4 linked regions of the Diceros bicornis minor genome follow. The protein of the gene in region 3 interacts with the protein of the main gene of each other region in a pairwise test. Links are inferred from orthologs where the notes say so. Each region holds a gene or a part of one and is shown on either strand. Other genes may lie near its edges. The genes, in order: MIER2, P4HA3, NDN and FXR2.

The links.
Region 1: the proteins of NDN (region 3) and MIER2 interact in a two-hybrid assay, tested with the Homo sapiens proteins (2 studies listed by BioGRID and IntAct). The link is inferred for Diceros bicornis minor from reciprocal best matches to the Homo sapiens genes NDN and MIER2.
Region 2: the proteins of NDN (region 3) and P4HA3 interact in a two-hybrid assay, tested with the Homo sapiens proteins (2 studies listed by BioGRID). The link is inferred for Diceros bicornis minor from reciprocal best matches to the Homo sapiens genes NDN and P4HA3.
Region 4: the proteins of NDN (region 3) and FXR2 interact in a two-hybrid assay, tested with the Homo sapiens proteins (2 studies listed by BioGRID and IntAct). The link is inferred for Diceros bicornis minor from reciprocal best matches to the Homo sapiens genes NDN and FXR2.

Annotation. Positions count from the first base shown.
Region 1 is NW_026691553.1:98,773-106,696, reverse strand, and holds the start of MIER2 (mesoderm induction early response protein 2), read left to right. Parts: upstream 1-4,921; 5' UTR 4,922-5,672; intron 5,673-7,924. UniProt on the Homo sapiens protein: Transcriptional repressor.
Region 2 is NC_080746.1:56,656,328-56,663,723, reverse strand, and holds the start of P4HA3 (prolyl 4-hydroxylase subunit alpha-3), read right to left. Parts: upstream 3,023-7,396; coding exon 2,823-3,022; intron 1-2,822. UniProt on the Homo sapiens protein: Catalyzes the post-translational formation of 4-hydroxyproline in -Xaa-Pro-Gly- sequences in collagens and other proteins.
Region 3 is NC_080744.1:76,965,345-76,971,945, forward strand, and holds NDN (necdin), read left to right. Parts: upstream 1-4,443; 5' UTR 4,444-4,534; coding exon 4,535-5,512; 3' UTR 5,513-6,087; downstream 6,088-6,601. UniProt on the Homo sapiens protein: Growth suppressor that facilitates the entry of the cell into cell cycle arrest.
Region 4 is NC_080757.1:10,725,658-10,732,687, reverse strand, and holds the start of FXR2 (RNA-binding protein FXR2), read right to left. Parts: upstream 3,021-7,030; 5' UTR 2,693-3,020; coding exon 2,612-2,692; intron 1-2,611. UniProt on the Homo sapiens protein: mRNA-binding protein that acts as a regulator of mRNAs translation and/or stability, and which is required for adult hippocampal neurogenesis. Specifically binds to AU-rich elements (AREs) in the 3'-UTR of target mRNAs.

The sequences.
Region 1 (7,924 bases), on a different chromosome or scaffold from region 3:
AACGCAGACTGATGCAGCTTCTATGGAGAACAGTATGGAGAGTCCTCAAAAAATTCAAACAGAAATACCATATGACCCAGCTATTCCACTACTGAGTATTTAGCCAAAGAACCTGAAATCAACAATCCAAAGAGGCTTATGCACCCCTATGTTCATTGCAGCATTATTCACTATAGCCAAGACTTGGAAGCAACCCAAGTTGCTCAGTGGCGCAGCGGTTAAGTGTGCGCGCTCCGCTTCTGTGGCCCGGGGTTCGCAGGTTCGGGTCCCGGGTGCGCACCAACACATCGCTTGTCAGGCCATGCTGTGGCGGTGTCCCATATAAAGTGGAGGAAGATGGGCACGGATGTTAGCCCAGGGCCAGTCTTCCTCAGCAAAAAAGAGGAGGATTGGCTTTGGATGTTAGCTCAGGGCTAATCTTCTTCACCAAAAAAAAAAAAAAATGATGAGCATACAGCCCCCACTGCTGCCTGGGGCTCACCCACTCACTTCCACCACACCTTCTCCGAGGCTCCCCTGGTGAATGACTCAGACCCTCGTCCCTGAGGGGTCTGACGCCCTGTCATCCGGCTTCCGTCAGCCCGTGGGTGCTGTCCGCTTCACGTCAAAACTGGGCACAGAAGGATCCAGAAAGCCCGATGGTGACCCTGCTCCGTTGCAACCCCTTAAACACCGTGCACCCCAGTCTCCTAAACTTTGCCTCTGCTCCCCCTGCCGGGTGCCCTCGCCAGCCCCTCCTTTCCTCCCTACGGCTCAGTGCACACACTGCTCTTTATTTTCTTAGCTTTATTTCTTTTACTTTTTTTTTTTTGGTGAGGAAGATTGGCCCTGGGCTAACATCCGTGCCTATCCTCGTCTATTTTATGTGGGACGCCACCACAGCAGCACGGCTTGATGAGCGGTGGGGAGGTCTGTGAACCCCGGGCTGCTGAAGCGGAGCGTGTGAACTTCACCACCACTACGCCACTGGGCTGGCCCCACATTTCTTTCACTTGTATTTGAAAATCATTCAGGTTTACTGAAAAATTGCAAGAATAAGTATAGTCAAAAAAGCATCCACACACTCTTTCCCAGACTCAGCTGTTAACATTTCTCCCCATGGCTTTATCATTTGCACCCTTTCTCTCTGTCGCTGTCTCTCTCTCCCCGCGTGTGTTTTACAGACGTAAAATATCTTCTTCTGAAGCACTTACGAGTAACTTGCACACATCACGGCACTTACCCTGTCTTAGTTCCTTCGGGCTGCTGTAACAAAAATGTCATAGACCGCGTGGCTTATAAACAACGGAAGTGCATTTCTCACTCTCTGGAGGCTGGAAGTCCAAGATCAAGGCGCCAGCACATTCAGCGTCTGGCGGGGCCGCTTCCTGGTTCATAGTCGGCACCTCCTTGCTGTGTCCTCACGCGGCAGAAGGGGCCGGGAGCTCTCTGGGGTCTCTGTTACCCCTGATCCCATTCATGAGGGCTCTTCCTTCAAGTCCTAAAGACCTCCCGAACGCCCACCTCCTAATGCCACCACACTAGGATGATTAGGTTCCCATATATGCATTTCAGGGGTACACAGACATTCAGTCTGCAGTAACCCGTAAACACTTTGGTGTGAATTTCCTGAGAATAAGAATGTGCTAACCACAGAAGGGTTACCGATTTCAGTGCACTTAACACCGATGCCATACTTTCCTCTAATCCACACCTGAATTTCAATTTTGTCTGCTGACCCGATCATGTTGTCTGTAGCATCTCCCTCTGCACTCGGATCCTGTCTAGGATCACGTATTGCATTTAGCTGTCACGTCTGGAAGGTTTCCACAGGTTAGTCTTTTGCAGCATTAACATTTTTGAAGAATACAGCCCTTTTTTTTTTGGTTTGTTTAACAGAGGGTTCCTTATTTGAGGTCCGTCTGAAGTTTCCTCAAATACGGATACAGCTTGTGCCCTCCAGGCCAGATTAAGTGATACAGTGTCCTCAGCGCACCGCCCCTCACAAGTGACGTTAATTTTTCTCACTTGGCCGAAAGGTTGCCTCATTTCTCCTCTCTACCTGAGAATCAGTGGGTGAGGAGAGGCTTTCAGACCCTAAAAACACCCTTCTCTTCACCTGAACCCGCTTCTCCCTGCGTTTCACATCGGTCAGTGATTCTTGTCAAAGCTCTCTCCCCGGAGTCTTCCCGCTGCCCTAGGCAGACTCAAGCCCTTTTGCTTGGCTGCTGCCACCTGTTAGGACACGAAGCCCCACTCTCGTCGTATCTGCTGATGCGACTCCTGCCTCCCTGGAGCCCTGGCTGCCCAGCACCCCGCTGAGGGCTGGGGGTGGTGGTGGGGGGGAGACACATCACATTGATTGAATGAATGAATGACCAGCTGTTCTCTGTGTCAGTGAGGACTCTGGGTCACAAGAGCCTGAAACCCCATTCGCAGCCTGCAAGCCTACACAGGGAGCGGGGGCTCACTGACCCAGGGGACTGGAGAGCACAGTGGTGCTGCCCCCTCCCGCTGGCAGGTCCTGGGGGCTGGGGTAACGCTTTCCTATCGAGCATCACATCGTGCAGGGTGCATCTGGACTTCTCAGCACTGTGGTGGCTGACAGCTGGGAAAGGAACGGGGCTTGGGGGTCCCCTGACTCTCCAATTCCCTTCCTCCTGGCCTCAGCAGGAACCACCATCCGCTCACTTGCGCCAGCCAGAAATCTGGGGGCTGTCCCCCACGCTCTCTCCCCCTTCAGTCCCTCCCGGGAGCTCGTGGAGCCCACCGTCCCCACCCTCCCTCCGCTTCTCTGTTTCCAGCCGCCACCTCGGTCACAGGCCACACAGCGGCCAGCTCGGGCCACCTGGGGCTTCGCTGTTCCTCTCTTGCTCTCTCTACACCCGCCCTGTGCTCAATGCACTTGTCAGTCTGAAATCTAAAATGCCACCAAGCCCTGTTGGGACTCCAACTCCCCTCCAGCGCCCAGCACAGGTTCAGAACTGCAAACGGCCCGTAAATACGTGACCAATCAATAACGAGGGCCTTCAGAGCCAAGCGGGCCCGGTTCCCGCCCACCTCCCCTGCCCGCCCAGGCACGGACGCCCGAGTCCAGGGCGGCCACGTGTCTCAAGGCGCATGGTCGTAAGCTCCCCAAGCGACTCTTTGGCACCCTAGATGGATCATCACTGGTGCACAAGTGCAGAAAGTTCCAGAGCCACGCGGAAGTTCCAGAACCTTCAATCCTGGCTCCATCACTTATGCATTGGGGGTCGGTCCCTCTGGGCCTCGGTTTTCTGATCTGTGACATGGGGGTACTAATGCTATGGGGCCATGGGATTGGTAAGAGGAAACGGGACCAGCGTGCCCTACGCAGGTGTAGCTGCCAGGTGTTAGCATTCTCCCTCCGGCATCCCCCACCGCCCAGGCCCGGGCCCGGGCCAGGGGGCCCGGACCCTGTCCGCCCGCCCGCGCACCCACGCCGGCGCAGCCGGTCCGCGAACCTACTACGACGCGGACCCTGTCCGCCCGCCCGCGCACGCCGCCCGCGCACCTACTACGCGCCCGCCCGCCCCGCCCCCTGGCCCCGCCCCTGGCCCCGCCCGGCGCCCCCGCCCTCCCGGCGCCGCAGCCAATGAGCGCGCGGCCCCGCATCCGGGGATCCCGGCGCGGCCGCCGCCTCCCGCGCACACACGGCCATGGCGGAGGTGAGCGAGCGGGCCGGGGGAGCCGGCGCCCGCCCCCGCTCCGCGGCTCGGCCCGCCGGCGTGTCGGGGCTCCGGGCGCGGACCCCGCGGGGCAGAGGCCGGGCCGGTGCCGCGCCCGTGTGCCGAGGGGCGCGGGGCTCCGCGGCGGCTCCCGGCCCCTCCCGCCGCCACATCGCGGGCTGCGGCGCGCATGCGCGGGCGGGCGCGGGCGGGGGGCGGAGTGGGCGGGGGCCCTGGGCGGGGGCGCACGGACGCGGGGTGGGCGCCCGGCCCGGTCCCCGCGCGGCCGCGCCCCCGGGGTCCGCGGTCCCCCCGCCCCTCCCCCGCCAACTTTGCGCGGCGCTCGGCCGGGCGGCCGCTGCCCGGGGACCCCTGCGGACCCCCGCGGCCCGCGCGAGCCCCCTGCGGCGGGGGCGCCCTCCCGCCGCTCCCGGGCGGGCTCCGGCTCGCGGGGCGCTGGGGGTCGGAGCAGACCCCGGCGCCGGGGTTCCTTCTCCGTCCGCGATCGGGCGGCGACCCCTGGCCCGAAACGCTGGGCGCCGGCCCAGTGCTGGGATTCGGAGGGTTTCCGACTTGGGGACCCGCGGGTGGGCGCTGGGATGCGCGAGCAGACTCCCCGGGGCCGTCAGGGCAGAGACGGGCGCCGAGAGCCTCCTGCAGGTCCAGCCGGGGGCGGAAAAGTTTCCACTTCGGGAAGTTGGACGAGACCGTGCGACCCCCCTTCCCCCTCGCAGCCTGGGTGCGGGTGGGGTGACACGGTGCGCCCGCCGGGGCGCGGTGCGTGCGGAGGGTGCAGCCTGGACACGTCGCGCGGGTCCGCAGACCCAGCGAGTGGTCGTGGTCCGGGGGTGGGCCCCTGAGGCCGAGAGGAGAGGGTGCCCACCCAGGGGTCTGGGGTGTTCGGCTGCTCACGGGGCCGCATGGATAGTTTATGTCTGAGCGCAGCGTGGGTGCGCCTGCAGGGTGGGCCTGGCCACTCTCTCCCACCAGTGACGTCCTCGGGGGTAGCCATAGGCCCTGCACGTGCACCAAGGAGGGTGCAGGGCCTGACTCACCTGCCAGTCCCTGCCTTATGCTGGGTGGCTGGATCCAGAGGGTTCTTGGAGAGTTGGTTCTCCTTTCTTTGGGGGCATTTAGGGAAACTGAGGCCTCCTGTGGGCAGTGGCTGGCGTTGTGGGTTGGAGACAGAAGCCGAGTCTAGTGATGGCCCAGCAGGGTGTGGTAGTCAAGTGTGTGTGTCTGTGTGCGCTCCTGGCCCTGGGCATCGGGGGCCTTCTTCCTGGGCCCCAGGTGGCATCTGGGCAGCACTGTTGGCCTGGCAGGGATCTGTGTGTCGTGGGTGGACGGGATCGGCTCCCCTGCCAGCCTCTCCTGAGGGCTGCCGGGCTCGTCTGTTGACCCTGCCTTGCCCAGTGCCGAGCCCTGGCACCCTCGCGGCCGCCAGGTGCCTGGGGCGCTCCTGTCACCCCTGTTGACAGTTTGGGGTGGTGCCCTCTGAAGTGAGTTGAGTTGGTTTCCCGAGAGAAACCCTGTGTGCCTGGCTTCATTTGGGGCCCTGAAAGTCTGGCTGGGAGCAGAAACCTGACGATTCCGTCCTCAAGGGCCCGAGAGTCTGGGCAGAGAGGCTGGGCGGGAAAGGGCCAGCGCGTGTGCGAGGCCCAGATGAGAGGGGCCGCGGCCAGCCTCCGCCTGGGAGACTCTTGTGGCTCTGGAGCCTCTTGCTCTGTGTGACCTTGGGCAGGTCCCAGGAGGTCTCAGCTGCGGTTTCCTCGTCTCTGAAAGGGGAAGAGCCTAAAGGTCTCGGAAGATCTCGGTTCGGTGGCTGCGCAGAGAAGCTGGACCCTGTAAAATCACTGGCGACCAGCTGTCTCAAACTGTAGAGGTGGTGATGTGTAAGCTAGCAGTGACCCTTGCTCAGTGTCACCTGCCTGATCTCCGTTGTTGCCAGGATAGCCACCCGCACCCTGAGAGAAGACAGGGTGCTCTTTTCTCCTCGGACGCCAGGTTCGTCTCTCGAGGAGCCGAGTACACTGTCTTGTGATTAGAAGACGTGGCTCTCCGTTGTACTTGGGATAAAGTGCGTCCCTCCCTCCTCCCCCCGCCCCCGTGACCCCCTGCCCGCTGGTGTGGTCCCGAGGATCCCCCCCTGCCCCCTCGGGACCCTCCACGTCCACTTGTTTGTTGTCTGTGTCCCCAGCCAGGCTGGTAACTCGTGTGGATGGAGACAGGCGGAACCTGCTTCTCGATTGGCTGCCGTGCACCGGGCGCCTACCACCCCACCTAGCCCAGGACAGGTTCTCGGTGGACACTGGTCGGGTAGAGGCGGGAAGTGCTGGGGGTCCAGCCGGGGACAGCACCTCAGCCGGGGCGGGTGGAGGTGTCGATGCATCACGGAGGGTTCTTGAAACCTCAACGGTTTTGTTATCTCTCCTGGTTCTGGGGTTGCCTGGGCTCAGCTGGGCAGTTGTCACTCAGAGTCCTCACAAGGGCTAGTGGCCGGGGCTGGGGCTGGCCCCAGGGGAGGAAAGCTTCCTGGCTCCCGTGTGGCTGTCGATGCTGGCTGGGACGCCTCTGCCAGCCTGTCCGTGTGGCTTGGGCTCCCTCACAGCGTGGCGGCTGGGTTCCAGGAGTGACTGTCCCAGCACATCCCAGGGGAAACCTGAATTGCATTGTATGACCTTGCCTTGGAAGCAAATGGAGGCCCTTCTGCTAGTCACAGGCCCGGGCGGATGCACAGGGAGGGGCGCAGGACCCTGCCTCTCGAAGGGAGGCACATCCACGCACTTGGAGAGCCTGTGGGGTGGACATTTGGGTGCAGCCGTCTTGGAGGAGGGATCTGCCCCAGCATCCTTGTGGGTTGAGCTCGGAGGAGTGGTAGCTAGGAGTCAGACGCTGCCCGGGGGGCGAGGGCTCCTGCCTCTGCGTCTGAGAGGCCAGGGACCCCCCGAGACAGGATGGGCAGTCCTCCTGCTGGTGAGCAGGCTGCCTCTGCCACTCGAGGGGCCTGGGCAGGACCCCAGGCCAGGGCCCCTCTCTGCTGGGACCGAGTCTCCAGAGCGTGGCTTTCCTTCCGTCTGGTCCTCCTGCCGTGACTCGTCTTTCCCCGAGTGCCCTTGGCCAGCTCACCATCCTTTTCCTTCGTCCCCTCGGCACAGCGGAGGGCTGTGATGGATGGAAGCATCCAGAGTGTTCTGAACGAGGGGAAGGAGAGCCCCAGGAACTCCATGACTAGTGGGCTTGCCCCTGAAAGTCGAGGTTGGCGCAGGGGGAGGCGGAAATCCATGCAGTCTGTTCCTGGGTCAGTTTTGAGGAACTCGCAGTCGCCTGGAAGTGGATTTGGGGGTCCGGAGCCCCGTGGGGAACAGGCTGCCGTTCCTGCCGCTCCCCGCTCTGCTGCTCTGCCTGAGCTCCCGCTCCGACGGAGGGCCCGGTGCTCAGACCCTGCAGGCCCGCACGCCGCCGCCCCGAGGCCGCACCGCGGGTGGACGCAGCAGGGCTGTGCCCTGTTTCTCGCTCTGGACAGCGAGCGTCCAGTCAGCCTCTCTTAGTTTCCCTGCGTTAGTCGGGGCCCTTGGTTGCAGGAGACGGAAAGCCGGCTCTGGTGGAGAGGGAGCCCAGAGGGTCCTGCAGGGGCCGGGGGGTTCAGAGGGCACTGGGGCCTGGGCCCGGGGCAGCCTGCTTGCTGATGGCAGCCTGCTGTTTTCTGGAGGGAGGCGAGGCCGCCTCTGCCGGCCACAGGCTGACCCAGGGCACCGGGTGCCCTGCCCTCCTCGCCTGCTCCCAGGTGTGCTGCCCCAGCCCCGCCCGGCCGCTGGCTCCCTTTCCCTCCCTCTGCGTTCATCGCCTCCTGCCTCCCTGGGGCTCAGCTTCCTAAAGCCGATGGGCGGTGAGGCTCCCACTCGGCAGAGGCCCCCCCCACCCTTCCTCCCCCACCAGGCTTCGCCCTCCTCCTCTGCGCCTGGTCCTCGCCAGCCCCCACCCGTGCTACTGCAGTGCCCCGTCTGGCTCTGCCTCGCAGCTCTCGTGGCCTCACCGTCCGTTGGTGGACTTTCATTATGCTGCACATGGACTGAGGGGCTCTAAGGGGTTTCGGAGTCGCAGAGTCTGGGTTTGAGTTTGTAGTTGTATCACTTACTTGCTGTGTGAGCTTGGATGAGTGACTTGATCCCTCTGAGCTTCGATTCCCTTGTTTTTCTTATGAAGAGAATGCTTACACAGCCTCTTGAGGTTTTCCTGAGGAACCACTGAGGAAATTC
Region 2 (7,396 bases), on a different chromosome or scaffold from region 3:
TAGGAAAACGAGCAGGAACTGCCAAAACTCTTGTTTTAAAAGGCAAACATTTCACTAGGTTTTAGGGCATTGACTAGAGAATAGACAGTCTCTAAAATATCAAACTAAACTTTCTGAAATTAAATGCTCATAAGTCATATGAGAAGAGAATCTAGAATTTCTCTGATTCTTTTTTATTATCTGGCCTCTCAACAATCCTAGTTACTGCTTAGAGCCAAAAGTGGGGTCTAGTTTCATCAGCCAGTCTTAAAATAAACAACAATTATAAAGAGCTAACATTTGTTGAACAATTATTATATGCCAAGCACAATGATAAATACCTTTACATGGTATTTAATCCTTCCAACAACCCTATAAGGGTAGGTACTATCATTATCATCATTTTACAAATTAGGAAACTAATGCTTAAAGAGGCAGAGGAATTTGCCAAAGGTCAGAGCCAAGGATTCAAGCAGAGTCTGTTAAATTCTTGAATCCAGACTCTTAACCACTATGTACTCCAGCTGCTCATAAAACCTTAGCAGTTATGGGGCTTGGTCTGTGTCCTGGCATGCCAGATAAAGTAAGCATAGCATGATGGAAAGAAACAATGAAAAGAACTGTGTCCTAGTCCTGGATTTGCTACCTACCAGATTTATAATCTTGGATAAGGTACAAAACTATAGTTTTCCCATATTTTAAATGATTCCTCATTTGTTTAAGAGGGTAATACAAACCTATTTCAAACCATTGTGTGTGACAGAGTATCAAAAGAGATAAAGTTTGTGCCAGATCTCCCACTGTGACAAAGCTGTGACAATGAAAATGGTGATAAGACAGTAAAAGAGACCAGCATGCAGAGGGGATCCCTGGCCAGCCGGTTTGATCAACACTGCAAGCTCTCTCTTCTGAGCCTGTTCCCTGAGGGCCTGGCATCAGAATTCTGAGCTCCCCATCTCCATCTGAGCCACTCAAATAAAGAGATTAGTGGTAGGACAACAAGCACATAAGCAGCAGGGAGCATGTGGGTATCTTAAATCAAAGAGAAAAGAGTCTGCTCTATTTCCACTAACGAAATTGGACCCCAATGAATCTGGACTAAGAACAAAATTAAAACATTTTGCTCTGTAAACTTGGGCCACAGAACACTAAGCAACTATGCTACTCCAAAGAGTGACAAGAATTATTGAAATTATCATCATGTACTGTTATAATTAATACAGATTTAACATACATTATATATATGTGTATGTGTGGGTGTGCACGTGTGTGTATCATCACGCTATTTCAAACTAACAGTAAATTTAAACATGCATATAACTGCTTATATGCCAGCTACATACTTAAGAGCATGTACCAAATCACATCATCATTCAGTCACCATTGAGTAACAAACAAGATCTCTCACACACACTTCCACAAACTGATTCTCTTCCACATGGGCTCTCTCGCATAGCCATGGTGTCCCACACACCTTCTTCCCATGTGTCCCAGAATCAGTATTACCATCACACACACTCACAATTTGATAAGCAGTACATTGTGAGACAGCCCTCTGTTGTCTCAGTTCAGCAGAGAGTCACGTGATAGAAGTACAATATTAATATATTCAGACAGCAACATGGTTACACCATTGTTTCTCACACTGTAGGCTTCCCAATGTCCCAAAGAGAGAAAGCACAACACATATGTGTCTATGATACACATGGCATTGTACACAATCACTCATCTTTCCTAGTTTGACACTGACAGAGTCAATACATGATTACAGTGTTTTATCCCACAGTGTGTAGCACTAGAGTTTGTTGATTGGATAGCAAAACAACATTGGCTGAGCATCTGCTTGTGTGTGCAACACTCAGTATCCTCTAGCATCAAGTATGGTTTTGCCCAGTGTTTTCTTGCTGTCAAATACTTTCACACACATATAACATCTCAGTTATCATTTATTTAGTACTTAGTTCTTACATGAGTAAAGAGAAGGGAGAGCTGAAAACAAAGGAGGCCATGGACATCTCTGATTACCAATCGTGATGCTACAGACTATAAGCTCCTTGAGGGCAGGGTTGGGTCTTGTTCACCATTTTATCCCCAGTGCCTGGAACAGTGCCTGGCTCATAATAGGCACTCAAACATAAGTGTTGAATGAATTGATGAACATGAAGCATTATTCATAGAGCGACTTGTACAATCACTTGGCACCTTTCACATGCAGAGTATGATATCCATAGTGTCCTGCCCATCCAGTCCCAATGACGCGTAAATCTCCTCCAAGGTCACAGAACATCACCCAACTCCTCATACTAAACACCAGTTCACTGGGTCACATGGTCAAGACATGTGTGGCTGCAGCATCACACACTATTCTCTGCATCTCACTCTGGCAGTATCTCTGCATCTCTGTGACACAAGACCTGGGGCCCACACAACTTGACACAGTGCCTTGTGAGGTCCTTGGCTTCAGAGGCACTCCACCACACTTTCCCACAGTGTATCAACTTCGCTGTGTGACGCTGGATCTGGAGTGCCACTGTGTGTGTGTGACGGAGTCTGAGGCCCCACCCTGTGTGACACAGCGTCTCTAGGGTCATAATCAGTCTCAGTTTCCCCATCACCCCATGGCACAGTATCTCGGGGTCCCACACTGGGTGACAATGGGTCTGGGGGGGTCACATTGGGCCACCGTGTCTCAGTCTCAGGGTGTGACACAGGGTCTGAGGTCCCACACAACATGACAATGAACCTCAGAGTCACCCCATCCTGTAGCACGGTGTCTCAGTCTCGCCCTCTGACTCAGTCTCCCGCACTCTGGCGTCTCTGTCGCTCCCGCCCCCGTCCCTCACCTGGTCAGGTCCCGCAGCCGCGCCTCCTCCCCGCGCAGGTAGCGCCGCAGCAGCCCCAGCAGCCGGCGCTCGGGCGCCAGGGCGCGCGCCACGCTGGTCAGCGCCGAGAACGTGTCCCCGCGCGCCGCGGCCGCTGCCGAGTCCGCTGCCCGGAGCGCCAGCAGCGCCAGCAGCGCCGCCAGCCGCGCCGCGGGGCCCATGGCCGGCGCTCCCGCGCGTCCCCTCGGACCGTCCAGCCCGGCCAGGCGCCCGCCGCTCCCCGCCCGGCCCGCCCCTCGGCCCCGCCCCGGCCGCGGCGCCTCGGCCCCCGCCCCTCCACTCCTTCTTGGCTCTGACGCCTCCTCTCGCTCTCCATCTCCCCGCTTCCTGCCCCTTAGCTCCTCAGACCGCGTGGGGGCCGCCTGCAACCTCAGGGTCTGACACCCTCCACTAAATCACGGCCCTCGGAAAGTGTTCCTCTGTGCCCATTTCACACTTAGGGAAATGGAGGCGGGGATGGGTGAGCGATGAATTCACTGGTCTATGGCTGTACCGCGCCGTCTCCAAAATATTTACCCCCTTGGATCAGAGGGTGGAAATACAGAGACACCACTGGATTCTGATGGGGAAATCCAAGAGGGTAAATCATGCGTTATAGTAACAGCAGTGCGGGTAAAGAGCGAGGAGAGAGCAGAAGGGAGGAAAACACTTCACTGAATTCTGGACGTCTGAGCCCTCTTGGAGGATGAGTAGAATTTTGACCCGGGGTGAGGAGGATGAAGGCCGTTAGGGTCAGTGCATGACAAATCTAGAGCTATGGAACCTAAAACTCTGGGGTCCTGGGCAACTGCTCTACACAATCTGCCTAAAGTCACTTAAGGGAACAAAAATATTGTTATTATTATACCGGAGGCTACTTATTCTTTTCCCCTCCTTCCCAGGCTAGGCAGTGTTCCCTCCTTCATTCATTTAACAGATATTTAGCACCTCTGTTACTGTGCTGAGGACACAGAAAAATAGCACATCCAACCCTGGACTCACAAGGGGAGACAGATATGTAAACACACAACCACAAAAAAGTGCTATCAGGGTAACTGAGGGTTGTGCAACGAGAAATGGCAACACTGAGGAGGGCGCTGGTGTCCCTGCATAGTGGTGAAGAGGGCTTCACAGAGGCGCGTGCAGGTCCAAAAGGATGAAAAGGAATTGTCTGGAAGACAACAGGCAAGAGAGCGATGGGCTTTCCTGGCAGAAGTTACCCATGTGTACCAAAGTTTGGAGATGGAAAACAGTTTGAATTCTAGGAATGATGAAAAGTTCCTTGTGATTGGGACTGTCAGATTGTGAAGGGGCTTTGCATGTCATACTCAGAAATTTAGCCTGTGCTCAATGAAAATCCAGTGGAAGTCTTTAAGGTGGCAATAATAGTCATCCAGTGACTGAGTGAGATGAGGGAATAAAGGCCCAGCCATTCAGGCCCAACATGAGACAGCTCTGACAGGAAACACTAGCTCTAGCCCTCTTGCCACCTTGATCAAGGCTTGTTAAGCCTCTTTGACGTCTTCCTCTGTCCTGTCCTGCTGCCTCTCCCTTTCACAGATGTTGACCCCTAATAAATACCTTGCACCCCAAACTCCATCTTAGCATCCGTTTCTAGAGAACCCAATCTGTAACATCAACACAATCAGCACACACAGCCACTGAGTGTAGAGCAGGGACCTGAACCCAGGTAGCGTGGATCCAGATGCTGTGTTCTTAATAGCTACCTGAGGCAGATTTACCATGAAATTTTTGAGGCTTAAGCTTCAAGGCCCCTAATTTGCACAATCCCTTCCCAAAGCCCTCAGGATCCTGGCATGGGGGAGCCTAGCAATGTGTTCTCATTATTAGATGTATTTGTAAAATTGGCAAAAGAAAACTATTTTAACCAAAATTGGTTAAATTGTCTCTTTCCACTCTGGCTTCCTCTCCATCACACTCTCTCATAACACTTCCCCTCTCCATCACACTCATAACACTTCCCCTTACGGCGGGAATGTTGGAATGGCCATGGGCCTGTGTTTGTAACTGAGTAGTTGTCTTAGACTGCTTTCTGCCCATAGAAGGTTGGGGGTTGTGGTAGGTAGAATAATGGCCCCCCCAATGATGCCCAGGTCCTAATTCTCAAAACCTGTGACTATGTTGCCTTACATGGCATAAGGGATTTTACTGGTGTGATTAAGTTAAGGATCTTGAGATGCCTCATTTATTTACATATTCATTTATTTATATCAGTATGGGCTCATGAATTTTATTGAATGGATTATAATCCATTACTTTGCTTATTTTGATGCTCAAATTGCCCTAGAGTTGGCCAGTGGTAGCTCTTCAATCGGGCTCCTGTGTCCTTTTGATATGTCCCCTTCATTCCTTGAGCACTTCCATACTTTGTTATTTGCAAGATATTCCAGGTCATCTTGTACTTTCCTTGCCCCAGTCCTGAAATCGAGCATTTCCCCCATGAGCCCTGGTTCCTTTTAGTGGAGTAGAGTATTCAGAAACCAAGATCTGGGTGCTAGGTATGCTTACTGCAACTGGGTTTTCTCTGCTCCCAGGTCCTCCCTCTCAGCAGACAGAGCTAGGAAATTATATATAACTTTGTTAAACTTATTCATAAGTTTTTTTTCTTTTAAAAATTGAGTTATAATTCACATAGTATAAAATCCTCATTTTTAAAGTGTATAATTCATTGGTTTTCAGTATATTCACAAAGTTGTGCAACCATCACCGCTATCTAATTCCAGAATATTTTCTTCACCCCAGAAAGAAACCCTATATCCATTAGCAGTCATTCTCCATCCCCTTCACCTGTGGCAACCACTAATCTACTTTCCATCTATATATGGATTTACCTACATGGGCATTTCATATAAATGGTTTTGTTTTTGATACAATAGTAAATGGAGTTGTTTCCTTAATTTCATGTTCAGATTGTTTGTTGTTAGTATATAGAAATACAATTGATTTTTGTATATTGATCTTGTATCCTGTAACCTTATTAAAACTGTTTATTATGTCTAATAGTGTTTTTTGTGGATTCCTTATGATTTCATATATAAAGATCATAACATTGGAAAATATAGTTTACTTCTTCCATTCCAATCTGGATGCTTTTTATTACTTTTTCTTGTCTAATTGCCTTGGCTAGAACCTCCAGTATAATGTTGAATAGAAGTGACAAGAGAGGACATCCTTGTCTTGTTCTAGATCTTGGGGGAAAGCTTTCAGACTTTCACCATTAAGTATGATATTAACTGTGGGTTTTTTGTCAATGCCCTAATTAGGTTGAGGAAGTTCCTGTCTGTTCCTAGTTCACTGAATGCTTTTATCTGTCAAATATGTTTTCTGCATGTATTGAGATGATCACGTGGTTTTTATCCTTTACTCTCTTAATATGATGTGTTACAATGATTGATTTTTTTGTTGAACCAACCTTGCATTCCTAGGATAAATCTTGTTTGTATCTTGCTGGATTCATTTGCTAATATTTTGTTGAGGATTTTTGTATCTATATTAACAGGGGGTGTTGGTTTGTAGTTTTCTTATGATGTCTTTGTCTGGTTTTGACATCAAGATAATACTGGACTCACAGAATGAGCTGGGAAATGTTCCTCCTCTGTCTATTTTGGAAGAATTTGTGAAGGATTGGAGTTAATTTTTCTTTAAACATTTGGTGGAATTCACCATTAAAACCATTTAGGCCTGGGGTTTTCTTTGTGGGAAGTTTTTTGATCACTGATTCAATTCCTTTAGCAATTATTTTAGAGCAAGTCTGCTGGCAATGAATTCCTTTATTTTTCTTTCGTCTGAGAATGTCTTTATTTCAATTTTATTTTTTGTGCTGGCCTCCATGGTTTCTGAAGAGAAGTACATAGTCGTTGAAATCATTGTTCCTCTATAAGCAATGCATATCTTTCTCTGCTTGGTTTCAAGAATTTTGTCTTTGTCCTCCTTTTTCAGAGGTTTGATTTATGATGTGGGAATGAATTCTGGTGGGGAGGTTATCCTTTTTGGGATTTACTGAAATTCTTGAATCTGTAGGTTTATCTATTTTGTCAAATCTGGGAAATAGTCATATATTATTTCTTCAAATACTTCTTTTTCAAAATCTTCTTCTGCAATTCTGATGACATAAATTAGGTACTGCCTCACAGGTCATTAAGGCTTTGTTCACTTTTTAAAAAATGTTTTTTCTCTGTTGTTCAGATTAGATAATTTCTATGGATCTGTTTTCAAGTTCACTGGCTCTTTTCTCTGTCATGTCTGTTCTGCTATTGACCCCATCAGTGATTTTTTTATTTTGGTGATTGTACTTTCAGTTCTAACATTTCCATTGGCTTCCTCTTTATATCTTCTATTTCTTTGTTGATACTTGCTACCTTTCCATTCATTTCAAGAGTGTTCACCCTTACTACTTGGAGCATTTTATAACAATCTTCAACAATTTCAACATTTGTGTCATTTCTTCTTTGACATCTGTTGATTTTCTTTTCTCATACTAATTGAGATTTTCCTGGTTCTTCATATGTTGAGTAATTTTGGATTAAATACTAGAC
Region 3 (6,601 bases):
CAGTGGTTCTCAGAGACTGAACTGCCCATAAAAGGGCTTTTAGCAGTGTATGGGGAAAGTGTCTTTTTGTTTTCTTACACTTTGTTTTCATTTTTCCCATTTCTGGAGGGCATTTATATGTGCGTTTGAAGGGGACAGAGGCATAAACTGCTTCGGTGTGCATTACACTCTTACGCAATGAAAAATTTTCCCACCCTCATGTCAGGATGTTACCCTTTGAAGAACCCTCCTCTAGAGGCTTTCTCAGGGTGACGTTATTTACCATCTTTGTTTCCCAAACTTCTCTTTCCAGCCCAAGCCTCTTTCGTGAGACCTATATATCCAGATATTTGCTGGACATGTCAACTCCCTCTTCCCACTACCTCTCTCCAAATAGTCTCAGGAAGTGGTGCCTCCATATCATAGCTACATGGCACTGCTCAGTCTTAGCTGCCCCTGAGACGGAATCTTTGTCATCCTTGATACTCACAGTCTCCCTTCACCTTCTCTTATTATTTATATCTTCCCCAGCATCCCTATTGAACATGGGTTCCCTCTGTTCTATTCTCTGTGACAACATTGTTGCTCCCTAGCAATATGCATCATAGAATAATGCACGATTATTTAATACTCATTTGTTTGTTTGCTTATGGCCCCTTTTCTCCACTAATTACCCTCTCTCTAGATTGCAGAGACCATGTCTCTCCTTCTCATTATATCCCCAGGCACAAAGCCTGAAATGTAGTGTTTAATAAATACCTGCAGAACGAAGTTGAAATGCAAGCCATCATTCTTTCTCAAGTGGGTTCCTGTGAAAGATCTCCTAAATGGTCTCTCTGCTTCTCCTTATCCACCTGCCCCCAACTCCAGACTTAATTCTAGTGACATTTCTAAAGGACACTCCTGATCTTGTCAGTTCCTAAGTGCCAGCAGGCTACATTGTGGGTCTGGGCAGGACTAGAAGATCTCCCGTTTTAGTGAGCGTCTTTTGGCCTCAGTTGGACAGGCATGCACAGCGTTATCCTAGGGAGAATGCAGGGATGAGGGGCCAGGGTTGAGTCCCCTCCTCCACTCTCCCAACTGTGGAAAGCAGCACAGCCTGTCCTCACTTATTCTTTTGAAACAAAAAGGAGCCAGACAGCCAAACAGTCCCAATGCAATTGGTTTCCCCCTCAGACTGAGCTACTTTTCTAAAATGCAAATCTTTCAGGCACATGATAGACATTGCTCAATATTTGCTGAACACATTAATGTGAATTGTCTGTCTCAATTCCTTGGCCTGCAAGGCATTTGGGGCCCATATGGGGGCTCTAAGGTGGAGGTTGCTGCCTATGCGTACAGGAAAGAGCCAGAAGGATTCACATTTCATTCGGGGCCTCTGGGCCTCCGCACTGTGAGCATGCGCGCTGTCCACCGGAGACTCTGGGGTGACCCCCCTTCCTCTGTTCGCTATGGAAACCAGTGCCAGGACAGGCCTCTCCTCCTATTCCTGAGTCTGCCAAGAACAGCCTATTCCACAGCTGTGTAATCTGTTCCACATTACAGAGTTTGAAGTAACCCACCAGCAAAACTGTCTTCAGCAGAATGTTTAAGTTATAACTTCTCCATATACTTCCTGCATCCATGGAACTTCTATTTACAGAAACTTGACTTAAAGAGTAGCCTTTAATGAGTTTCTCTGGGGAGTTATTTTGTAAACTTCAAGCCTTTGCTTCTAAGCTGCTGTCCCTGAAAGGACTCATTGCCCTTATCAAATAGGGCTAGCCCTGGAGATAACCAGCAAGCCTAATTTATCCCCAGCATTCTCAGAGCATCACCGGAGCTCCAGCCCTGAATCTCGACCCTTGAATTAAAGAAGCTGTGGATGGCTCTTCTTTCCTATGGTGCCTTCTGTCCTTTTCCTTATCCTTCTAAAGGTCTGCATGTCTGGTTCACGGGTAGGCACTTTATTAGATAGCTATCAAGCTACTGACCTCTCCCATGACACATGTGCAGTATACTTTCTCTACTTAAAGGCTAACCCGAGCATTACTTTTTTCACCCCCCACTCCATGAATTTCCTTCTTGGTGGGAAATGGACCCTCTTCAGCAGACCTTTTCCTGGGAAGAAAATGATATCCCTTTAGGAGGCATACAGTTGGGCTCCAAGGGTGAGCAGCACTGGGAATCTACTATGTACTTGGTTTCAAACTTGGGCGTCAGTCCCAATGCTTTAAACTCTCTGAGCAGAATCCCTTATAGTAGTTCTAATCCACAGGCTCTTGTGCAGTAATAAACAACCCTCCTGTCAGAAATGAGGTGTGAAGTGAGCTGTGGTAGTAGTGGGGGTCAACTGTTGCACATAGGCAACTTCACTAGAATGAGGTTCAGTCCAGGAAACCCAGGCAGCTCTCTGGCCAGAGCTCTGAGATCCCACTACAGCAGGAGCTTTTATAATTTTATAACTGTTGCGTTTTTATAATTTTTCTTATCATTGCTTTCATAATTTTTATAAACAAGTGTTTTTATACTTTTATAATTGTTGTGCCCGAGCTTGTGATTTAATTTCATGAATCCACTAATTCTAGGAGGGAGAAATTTGAGGATGTAATTTTAATAACCTCACAATGGCAAAAGTTATGGCATATGGCCAAAGCTGAGCTGAGATTTAAATAACAGTCTCTTTCATTTTCATTATTAGAAATACCATAAATGAACTAAATACTTAACCCGAATAGTTAGAAAAGAATATCCAAATGAAAGAAAAAAAGAGGAAGAAAAATTAATGGTGATAAAATCTGAGAAATGAGGATTATTCTCAAGAAAAATGTTTTTAATAAATCAATTCAACAGCCACTCGTAAATAATTTTAAAAAAACATATAACTGACACAACTCTGTAAGATGTACTCAGAAAAATAGAAATCCATAACTTAAAGAAGAAGAAGAAAATAAACAGGAAAAAATCCATCGAAGACACATCTCAAAGATCTGTAGAAATTATCCTTTTGAGGTGAAAGCTTAAGGAGACCTACTGGAGAGACTGGTGTGGGACTGGTCCTGCTAAATGTGATACAAGCATGGACATCCAAAGATAGAGAAACAGCATGGAAAACGCTTCAAAGTCAATCTACTTGAGAGAAAAAAAAAAGTGAAAAATAAGAAAGGGATACAAGCAAATAAAGAGAGGACTCTAGAAATGTCAAGACAGTATTTAATTATGCTTTGGGTTGCAGGTGACAATATCCAGACACAAGATGGCATATTTATGAAGCTGTTGGCTTGAGGAAACCCAGGAAGGGCTGAGGGACCACGCTAGCTCAGACCAGGGATGTTGATCACTCTCAGGAACCCTGGATCCAGAGGCTTCTACACCCACCCACTCCTTTCTTCATGGGTGCTTCTCTGAGAGTTTTGTTTTGTTTTGTTTTGTTTTTGCCCACTGCAGATCTGTTTTCTGAAACTGGAAAACACAACTGCCAATACGTTGCATCTGATATCCTTGGTCATCTGAGAGAGACTGCCAGATATGATCTATGGGACCCTTGTTAAAAAAAAAGTCTTGGGAGGGATTTGCGTGTGGCTGCCAACATGGGAACAGTTAGTTGCTGCGAGAGGGTGGGGGTGGGGCCCTGTGAGAAGGTGAAGTTCCCACAGAACACAGAGTAGAGGTCGCAGCAGTCATCAGGGGAAGGAGGGAGCTGGGCAAACCAGGAAAAAGATATCATACAAATTTATGCTAATAAATATGACAATCTTTGTATGATAAGATCTTAATGGAAAAATTAAAATGAAATCAAAATGACCCAAAGGAAATGGAAAACCAAAATCAATGACCAGTAAAATACTAACAATGTCATTAGCATAGCATCTCCAAGAAAGTTTCCTTTGCACATGGATTGACTATATTCTGCATTTCTTATTTTATAATCCCTCTGATTTGGTAGGGATTCCGTCAATTTTCATTGGTATTTCTCAGGATTCCAACCTCAGACATCCTCCTCACAGTTTCTATATTTTTTGGGGGGGCGGGGGCAATCTCGATTGTTCTCTCAGTTTAAATTCTCACATTCGCTGCCATGAAATGCCAGTTTACACACCAGCCTAGATCTTTTTCTGGGACTCTCATATCTAACTTGATTCTGGATATGCCCACTTGAACATTCCCTAAGAAACTCAAACTCAGCATCTCCGAAGCTTAAGTCATCTTTCCTCTTAAACTTGCTCCTCTTCCAGTGCTCATCCATCCCTCTCCCCTCCTCCTCAATACCTCCTTAGCCCAAACATTGACACCTGGGGATCACTGTTGCCATAATTCTAGCGGCGCCTCTACCCTCCTTGGGATCTCAACGCACACCCGCCCCCTTCGGGCTCCCCGCCCCGTCCCTGGGAGCTCTGCCTGCGGCAGCGGACGCGCAGGCGCAGTGGCCCGTCCCTCCGCCGCCCCGCCCCGCCAGGCCGCTGCGGAAGGCGCCGTGCGCAGCAAGGCGCACTTCCTCTCCAGGAGTCAGCGGAGGGAGAGTAGGCTCGAAGAGCTCCTGGACGGAGAGGCCGTGTCGTTGTCAGACGGAGCAGACATGTCCGAACAAAGTAAGGATGTGTGCGACCCCGGCTTTACAGCCGAGCCCTCCAACTCCGAGGTGCACGGCAGCCCTGGGGTTCCCGGGGGGCTCTCTCCGCCCGAGTCTCAGGACGCGACCCTTGCAGGGCCAGAGAGCCCTCCTCTAGGCCCGACCGACGCCCCTCTGGCCTCGCCGCCGCCCCAGGCCCCAAGCGAAGAGGGAGACCCGAAGGCCCTGCAGCAGGCCGTGGAGGAAGGCCGCGCCTACCAGGCCCCGAGCGCGGCCCAGCCCAGCCCAACGCCGCCCGCCCCGGCCCAGCTGGTGCAGAAGGCGCACGAGCTCATGTGGTACGTGCTGGTCAAGGACCAGAAGAGGATGATCATCTGGTTTCCAGACATGGTGAAGGATGTCATCGGCAGTTACAAGAAATGGTGCAGAAGCATTCTCAGGCGCACCAGCCTCATCCTGGCCCGAGTGTTCGGGCTACACCTGAGGCTGACCAGCCTGCACACGATGGAGTTCTCGCTCGTCAAAGCACTTGAGCCAGAGGAGCTGGACAGGGTGGCGCTGAGCAACCGCATGCCCATGACAGGCCTCCTGCTGATGATCCTGAGCCTCATCTACGTGAAGGGTCGCGGCGCCAGAGAGAGTGCTGTCTGGAACGTGCTGCGTATCCTGGGGCTGCGGCCCTGGAAGAAGCACTCCACCTTTGGAGATGTGAGAAAGCTCATCACCGAGGAGTTCGTCCAGCAGAATTACCTGAAGTACCAGCGCGTACCCCACGTTGAGCCACCTGAGTACGAGTTCTTCTGGGGCTCCCGTGCCAGCCGCGAAATCACCAAGATGCAAATCATGGAATTCCTAGCCAGGGTCTTTAAGAAAGACCCCCAGGCCTGGCCTTCCCGATACAGAGAGGCTCTGGAGGAGGCCAGAGCTCTGCGGGAGGCCGATCCCACCGCCCACTGCCCCCGCAGCAGTGTCTCCGAGGACTAGCAAGGTCTGGAGGCAGATTAATGGTTTCTGACCCTCACCAGGGCGGTGGAAGGGTGGGGGTGGGACATTAGAGTATTCAGGATTTACAGTGCAGTATTTCACGTGTAAGTTTGTTTTCAGTACAGTGCTTTTATACCTTTTAATGCAATGTTGTATTCATTTCCGTACTATTAGGTAGTGTGTAGGATTGATGCATGTTTGTTTATAAGTAAGCTTTGTTGGTGCTTTCGCTTTTTGTGCTACCTTTCTTGAATTTTTGTACCAGAGATGTGCTAAACTTATGAAATACATTGAGAAATTTTCCAGCTTATTCTTTTATATGGAACGGATGATGTGTATTGGGGTAGACTGCTCCTGGAGAGTTTGGAAGAACTCACCAGTAAAGCTGGCCTAACCAAGAGAAAAGTCAAGGCCCCTCTCTCTGACCTTGCTGGGCACAGGAACCATCCGTGTGGAGTGCAGTGATATGAACTGAAATGGTCTCAATGTGGGCACTTGGCACACTTCACTGAACACAAATACAACCCCACCATGAGTAAACTTTAAAGTAAACATTAAAGATTCTTGTGATACAATCATTTTTGGAAAAGTGTTCATCTTTTAAACAAAGTGGTATGGGTTGGGAATAAGACATTTTACAAAATGTACAAATATAACTTTCATCTAATAGGGTGGGAAAATCACTACTTATCATTACTCATAGATGTGTGAAGTTTATAGTTTTTTTTTAATGTAACTCGTTCATTTCAAACCTTTGACAAATATAAAAAAGTATAAAAAGAAAAAGCAAAAATGCTCATAGTCACATCACATAGAAATAATATTTAGAGTAATTTCCTTTCTTGTATTTTCTACATTTTATTAAAATTAATAGCTGTCTCTTGTGGGCAGTTAAGGACTGAAGCATTTTACTAAATGCTTTACATGCATTTTCTCCTTTTATTTAATCCTCACAACAGCGTGATGAGGCAGGCACTTAGTACATCTACACCATGGAGGAAACACAGGAAAAATGTAGGTAATTAACTTTACCTAGATCATAAAGTTTAGTGAGAGGAGGAGCTAGGATTCGAACCCAGACAGAATGAG
Region 4 (7,030 bases), on a different chromosome or scaffold from region 3:
CAATTCTGAGAGGGGTAAAAGGGACCTTCCCAAATTTATAGTTCTGGAAGCAATATAAACAAACACTCCTTGACCCACACTGAAATTTGCTGAGTCATGAATATTAAATCAGTAGCAAGGTCAGAATAGCTAAGTATCTATATGGCACTGAAAGTTGAAGAAAGATTAGTTGAATTTAGAGATTTACTATTGTTTTTAACCGAGGCATGGGGCAGAAAATGCTAAAGTAGCCAGAACACAAAATCCACATTACCTAGCTTTCAGCTTAGCTCCAAACTCTACTCTCTGATTCAAAGTATCCTGTCCCCAATTCACTCAAGTCTATCATTGCCACAGCCCACAGGAGAAAAGAAAAAGATTCAGAGAGCGATTTTCTGTTGGACACTCATATGTGGAAAGGAAAACATCTCCCTTCCCAGTTTTCTTTTTTTTGTGAGGAAGACTAGCCCTGAGCTAACATGCGATTCCAGTCCTCCTCTTTTTGCTGAGGAAGATTGGCCCTGGGCTAACATCCATTCCCATCTTCCTCTACTTTATATGGGACGCCGCCACAGCATTGCTTGACAAGCGGTGCATCGGTGCGCGCCTGGGATCTGAACCTGCGAACCCCGGGCCGCTGACATGGAGCGCGCGCACTTAACCGCTACACCACCGGGCCGGCCCATTCTTCCCAGTTAATTTGAAGTGGATACCAATCTTTCCCAGCTGCACTTGGCTCCCACGTTTCCTAGAACAAAAGCAAACATCATATCTTGATCTCAGACTCAATTTAAGAATCACTCTTCTTGGAACCCAGAATTTCGAGTGGGAAGGACCCAGATGAAAGACAAGATGGGAAAATTGGGGCTAAAATCTTATGAGGAAGGGTATTTCAACAAAGGTAATGCTGGTTTGGGGGAAAAGGATATAAGAGACAAATGTACTCTGTCAGAATCAGAAAGGAATTAGAGACTGCCAAAGAAAACAGAAATGCTATGGAGACAGGCTAGAAGAAAAAGTCCCATGAGTTAGGAAAGTATGCAGAAAAAATGACAGAAGAGGATCAGCTGGGAGCTTCTTTGAGACACGGAGTAAGATAGTTCCTGGGGATTACAGAGGAATACAGAAATACTAGGATAAAAAGCCAAAGACTTAAATTCAGAGAATAAGTTAAGATAGACAGATGTGGGTACCCTCAGGCACTGAATATAAAAAAATCTGGTGAGGGAAGTAGGGCAGAAATGGATAGGCACTTAGAGTGGGTAAAAAAATGCCTACACTGAACTTACCAACTGAAGCTGGGGCAGAAACCTTCCACTACAAGCGCAAATATGAGACTCTTTCCAGTTACAGTAAGATATAACTTCACAAGGAAGGAGCTGGAGAAAGTCATTTCCAAGGGCATGAAGGTAGAGAGCTCTTTTATGGGAGAATAGGTTTGAGGGGAAGTAAAGGAAAACGGGGCTCTTCTCACAAGTGATGTTATGAGAAGATATCTCAGCTCTTGCTCCTCAGGGTAAAATGAAAGACTAAGACAGAAATGTCTGCAAAAATTCCAGGCATAAAGTCCAAAGCAGTTCAAAATAACAACAGTCACACAAAGAAAAATTCCTGAGAGGCAAGAGGGGTCTCCCTCTGGCTAAATGTAAATGTCCTAAAAAATGTCCTAGAAAAGGAAATCTAAGGAACCAAATCCTGGGTGATGGGCAAGCTTAAGTAAACAAGGATCTTTTAAAGACAGTCCCCTTCTTCTTCAAAAAAAGGCTATCAGATTCCCAAATTGGGAGAGTTGGCCAAAAGTCTTCTAGAAGTGGAAATCCTTAAGACAGAAGGAATCCTCATGAGATCCCCTTTTAGAGATCATGAATACGAAGCTTACACTCATTTAGAAACGAAATGAATGATCTAAATGTATTTGAGGTGAAAGTGAGACAACAAATACAAATCCACCCCTGGGTAGACTGGTAAACCAGCTAGCCTTGGGATGAAGGGGTGGGGTGAGAGACTTGTGAAAAGATGCCACCCTATGGCTAAGGAGGCAACTTGATGGTACAACCCAGAGTTCCTGAGGTCAAAGATAACAAATGTCATAAATGGATTTTGACCGTTTCTCCTTGGGTTGGGAACAGAAATACAAGATGAAAGTGGGGTGAGTCTTCCAGAGCCAGTAGGAAGAGGCCTCTCCCAGGAAGACGAAAGGATCTAATATGGGACGGCCTTCCCAAGGGGTTAATAGGGAAGAATAAAGAGAATTCTCCATGTGCTTGGACTGTGGGGAAGATGTGATTAAGGTCTAAGGTATGTCTTCCACTAGGAAACAGGAAAAGTCAATAGGAAGCTGGGTAAATGGGGTCTCTTGGCGACGGGGGCCGGAGCGGCGGACGACACTGATCTAAGCACAATGATGACCTGATGTTCAGTCTCTGAGAAGGAGGTAAAAGCAGGTGAAATACCAAGAGGTAGGGGGTTAACTTCCAGAGGTCTCCCCAGGAGGGCTGCGGGTGAAAGTGTGGGTCTCAGGTTCTAAGGGTCAGGACTTAGCTCCAGAAGCTCGATCCCGCCCCACTCTTCCCTGCTCTGGCTGGAGGGAGGGGGCTAAAGACGGGTGTCCCCGGTCGGCGCGCCGCCTCACCTTGTAGAAGGCCCCGTTGGAGCCGCGCACCTCGACGGGCAGTCCCGGCTCCACATCCCCCCCAGAGGCCAGGCCGCCCATGGCGCCGCCACCTCCTCCGACTCCCCCGGCGGCTGCTGCAGCAGCGGTCTGACCACGGGCCGGGCCAGGGCCCCGGCGTCTCCCCGGAGGAGGAGCCGGAGGGGGAGCCGCGGGGGGCGGGAGCCGGGCCGGCCCCACGGCGGCCCTGCCACAGCCAACGAGCAGGGGGCCGGGGCCGGGCCGCTCCCCGTCCGCCGCCGCCGCCTTGGTCTCCGCCACCGTGAGGGAAACGGCCGCCGCCGCCGCTGCCTTCGTCACCTCAGCTTCCGCCCGCCGCCGCCCCGCAGCTGCCTCAGTCCCGGGACCCGCGGCTGCCGCTGCCTCTCCACGGCCTCCACCTCCCCCTGCCGCCTCCGCCTACTGCGCAGGCGCACCGCGCACCCGCCCGCCGCGCGCGAGGCCCCGAGGCTCACGGCGCAGGCGTCAAGACTGGCGACCCAGCTCGTGCTCGCCAGCGCATCAGGGCTTCCACAACTCCGTTTCACTCTCGCACGCCCCCTCCTGGTCGCTTACTTGCGCTTGCGCAGAACGAGATTGGCCCCCTTTCTTCGCCACCACCACTCCACCGCCCCCAGCTCTTCCTTTCCCCGCCCCACAACACTGAGAGTTAACCAATCGTGGGGAGGGAGGAGCCGAGCTCACTCAGTTGGATTGGATTTCTGCAGCTCCTGGTCAGACCACAGCCACTTTACCACTGGGAACTCCCCCAGGCTTGGACAAGTTAGGGATGGGCATGCGCCTAAATGACTGCTTGGTCACTTGCCCCACCTTTGTCTTTCTTGGTGCGCACGCTCTAAAGAAAAAAAAGAAGAGGAGTCGAAAGGCAAAAAAAGGTGCCCGGTGCGCAGGCCCTGAGCTTTACTGTCCATAGGCGTCTACCGACTCTTGAGCTTCTGTAACTCCTTCCCATAGGAAATTTGAGTCACGTTGTTGCCTAGAGAAAATTCTGATCATGCATATAATGAAAGGTTAAAAAATAATTTCAAAGCAGTACCGAAAAGCAAGTGCAACTTAGATCAGCACAAAATGTGATATCTAAAGGCTGAGGAAATTCAAAATAGGAACAATCGTTATGGAGTAAGGATAGTAGAGGGGAAACTTCGGGTTCTTGAACTAAGGAAGAAATTTAGGTAGAAGCGAATAAAAATAGCACAGAAATTAGAATCACGTGTTGTGCATTTAGTCATTTAGCAAAAATTTATTTAGCCTTCACTGTGTTCCAATCACTGTGCTAAGTGCTGGGGATACAAAGCCAAGATGTGGTCCCTGATCTCAAGGAATTTATAATATATTGGGGAAGGGGCAATTAAACAAGTTTAAATAAATAAATTAACAAATAAGTGCATAGAGTTTGACTGAAGATATGATAGAGATAAGGATTAGGGATAGAGAAAATTCCAAGGAGACAATGGTCAGTTGTTCTTCGGAGTGATCAGGGAAGGCCAAGCAGAGGTGATGCAAATTGAGATTTGAGGGATGAATAGAAGTTTGCTAGAGGAAAAGTGCAGTAAGAGTATTCGTGAGAGAACAAGGAATACAATGGTGCAGAGGAGCAGAAAGAGTATGTCTTTCGGGGGAACCACAACCAGTTCAAATAGCATTTGGCTTGAAGTAGGGAGCTGCAGGAAGCTAGACTGTGAAAGACTTGCAAATCAGATTAAAGAGAATGGCTTTTACTTTATCAACAACGGAGAGCCATTGAAAGGTTTTAAGCAGTAGTATAATGGGATAAGATTTACATTTTACAACTGTGGAGAATAGATTAAAGAGTAAGGGTGAGACCTGTGAGGAGCCCTTGCAGGTAAGAAAGATGCTGAGGATCTACCTTGATTAGGGCTCAGGGTAACAGAGGTACAAGTTGATTTACACCTGTTAAATTTGCAGTAGAATCAACAAGAATTGGTGATGAGGGTTCGGTGGGGTGGGGGTGAGGAGCCAATGAAGAAGAGGGAGGAACACGGGACAACTCTCAGATTTCTACCTTGGGTTACTGAGTGAATGGTGATGCCAATCATGGAAGAGAGAACACAAGAGACAAAGGTTTGGAGGAGAAGTTGATGAGTTTAGTGATTTTAGTTTCCCTCTTTGAGTCAGAGGATCCACCATCCAGGTGGACACGATCCTTTGTCTTCAACAAACTTCTCTTTCAGGTCTCAATTTCTCGGGCCGCCCCGTGGCTTAGCAGTTAAGTGTGCGCGCTCTGCTGCTGGCAGCCGGGGTTCGGATCCTGGGTGTGCACTGACGCACCGCTTCTCTGGCCACGCTGAGGCCGTGTCCCACATACGGCAGCTAGGATGTGCAGCTATGACATACAACTATCTACTGGGGCTTTGGGGGGAAAAATAAATAAATAAAATTATTAAAAAATATATATATAATTTCTTTAGCCTTCTACTATGCCCACACTAGGTTAGGCCTCCCACCTCCCACTGCCAAAGCATCCTATATTCCTTTGTGGCACTTATCATGGTTGTAATGTTAATGATTTGTCCAGCATCTTTCTTCTGCCATTACACTATAAGCTCTGTGAGGTCAGAGACTGGGTTCCATGTCTGTTTGTCCCCACCATTGTACACCCAGGACCTGGCACAGTTCCTGGAATGGCAAATATTAACTGAATGAAGGAATCAGTGTCCTGCAGGTCAATGGACACACAGGCGTGTGGCCCAGGAGAGGTCTGGGCTAGAGAGGTGGATGTGGGAATCATCAGCATGTTAGTCATAGTTAAAGCTGTAAGAGAAAATTAAATCTCTAAAGGAAAGTGTAGACTGAGAAATGAATTGGGTCCATGATGGAACTCTCAACTACACCAGTATATGAAGGGCTGATAAAAGAAGAGGAGCCTTCCAGGCGCCTGAGAAGGAACAGCAGTAAGTAGGGTAACAGAAAGGTAAAGAGACTATTAGCAGTGATTCTGGTAAGGAGTAGGGAGAGTTAGAGAACTTAAGTGGGGCAGATTATCAAGAGTGCTGGCTGTCAGACTGAAGAGTGTGGGTTTGGACTCAAGCAGTAGGGGTGACAGAATTTTGTTTTAGAAATGGCCCCATCACCAACTTCCAAGCTTTTGGCACCAACAGTCCTCTCAGGCTTGATTTTTCCTCTTCCTTATCTGCTCTGGTCATTCTTGATTCAGGCAAAGGATGGGAGTGGGAAAAGGGGAACAGCATTTCAGACAGGAGAATGGCATGTGCAGACAGCTCAGAGAGGAGAATACAGTGCATTTGAGGTACTGAAAAGAGTCTAACATAGTTAGAACCGACTTGGAGAGGAAACATGGTTGGAAGGGTTGGTTTGGGCCAGAGCTTGGAGGGATTAAATATATTTAGAAGTTTGGACTTTCTGCTGAGAGCAGAGGGAGCCATTACCGGATCTTCAGCAGACTTGCCTTTTAGTAAGATTATTCTAGCTGGAGTATAAAGGATGTGTAACAGAATGATCCAGCTTGCCTTAGGACTTCTGGTTCTTTCTTTTTATTTTTTTGTGAGAAAGATCGGCCCTGAGCTAACATCTGCCAATCCTCCTCTTTTTTTGCTGAGGAAGACTGGCCCTGGGCTAACATCCATGCCCATCTTCCTCTACTTTATATGGGATGCCACCACAGCATGGCTTGACAAGCAGTGCGTCTGTGCGCACCTGGCATCTGAACCGGCGAACCCCGGGCCGCCGCTGCAGAGCACCGGAGCTTGTGCACTTAACCGCTTGTGCCCCCGGGGCCGGCCCTGCCTTAGGACTTCTAAATAGAGAGATTGGGAGGAAGATAGAAAGAGGGATAGATTGATAGATGGATGGTTAGATAGATACTGAAAATGAGGATTAAGTGAAAGTTTACATACTGAATGTTAAGACTTCCCCCAGACTCCTTCACCCAGCTCTGAGAATACCTACAGCCAGGTTTATACCCTCCAAGTAGGAGTTTGGAAGAGCCTTTTCTGGAAATCTGATCAGACAAGAAAAAAGACCTAATGATACTGAAATCAGAGGCTCCTCATGGAAATAGCCTAGTGGATCACCCTATAGGAGAGGCCATAGTCAACATGCCTCCCTACCGCCCACATATACACACACAGTTTCCAATCAGTATTTTAGTGTCCCAATCTTCAATATCAGCAGACAACTAAGGATTACCAGACATTTGAGGAAAGCCTCTAAAACGAAAGACAGAAGCCAAAACAAATAGAGAAAGAAAAAAAAACATAGAAGAAATAAAGACTATGCAAGGAGAAAAGCATTTTTAAATAAAACTATCATGAATATCCTCAAAAAGAGAAGAAAAGAACATATATCTATGAAACAAAAACAGAATGTTTAAAAAAATGCAGAGAGGGCTGGCCCCGTGGC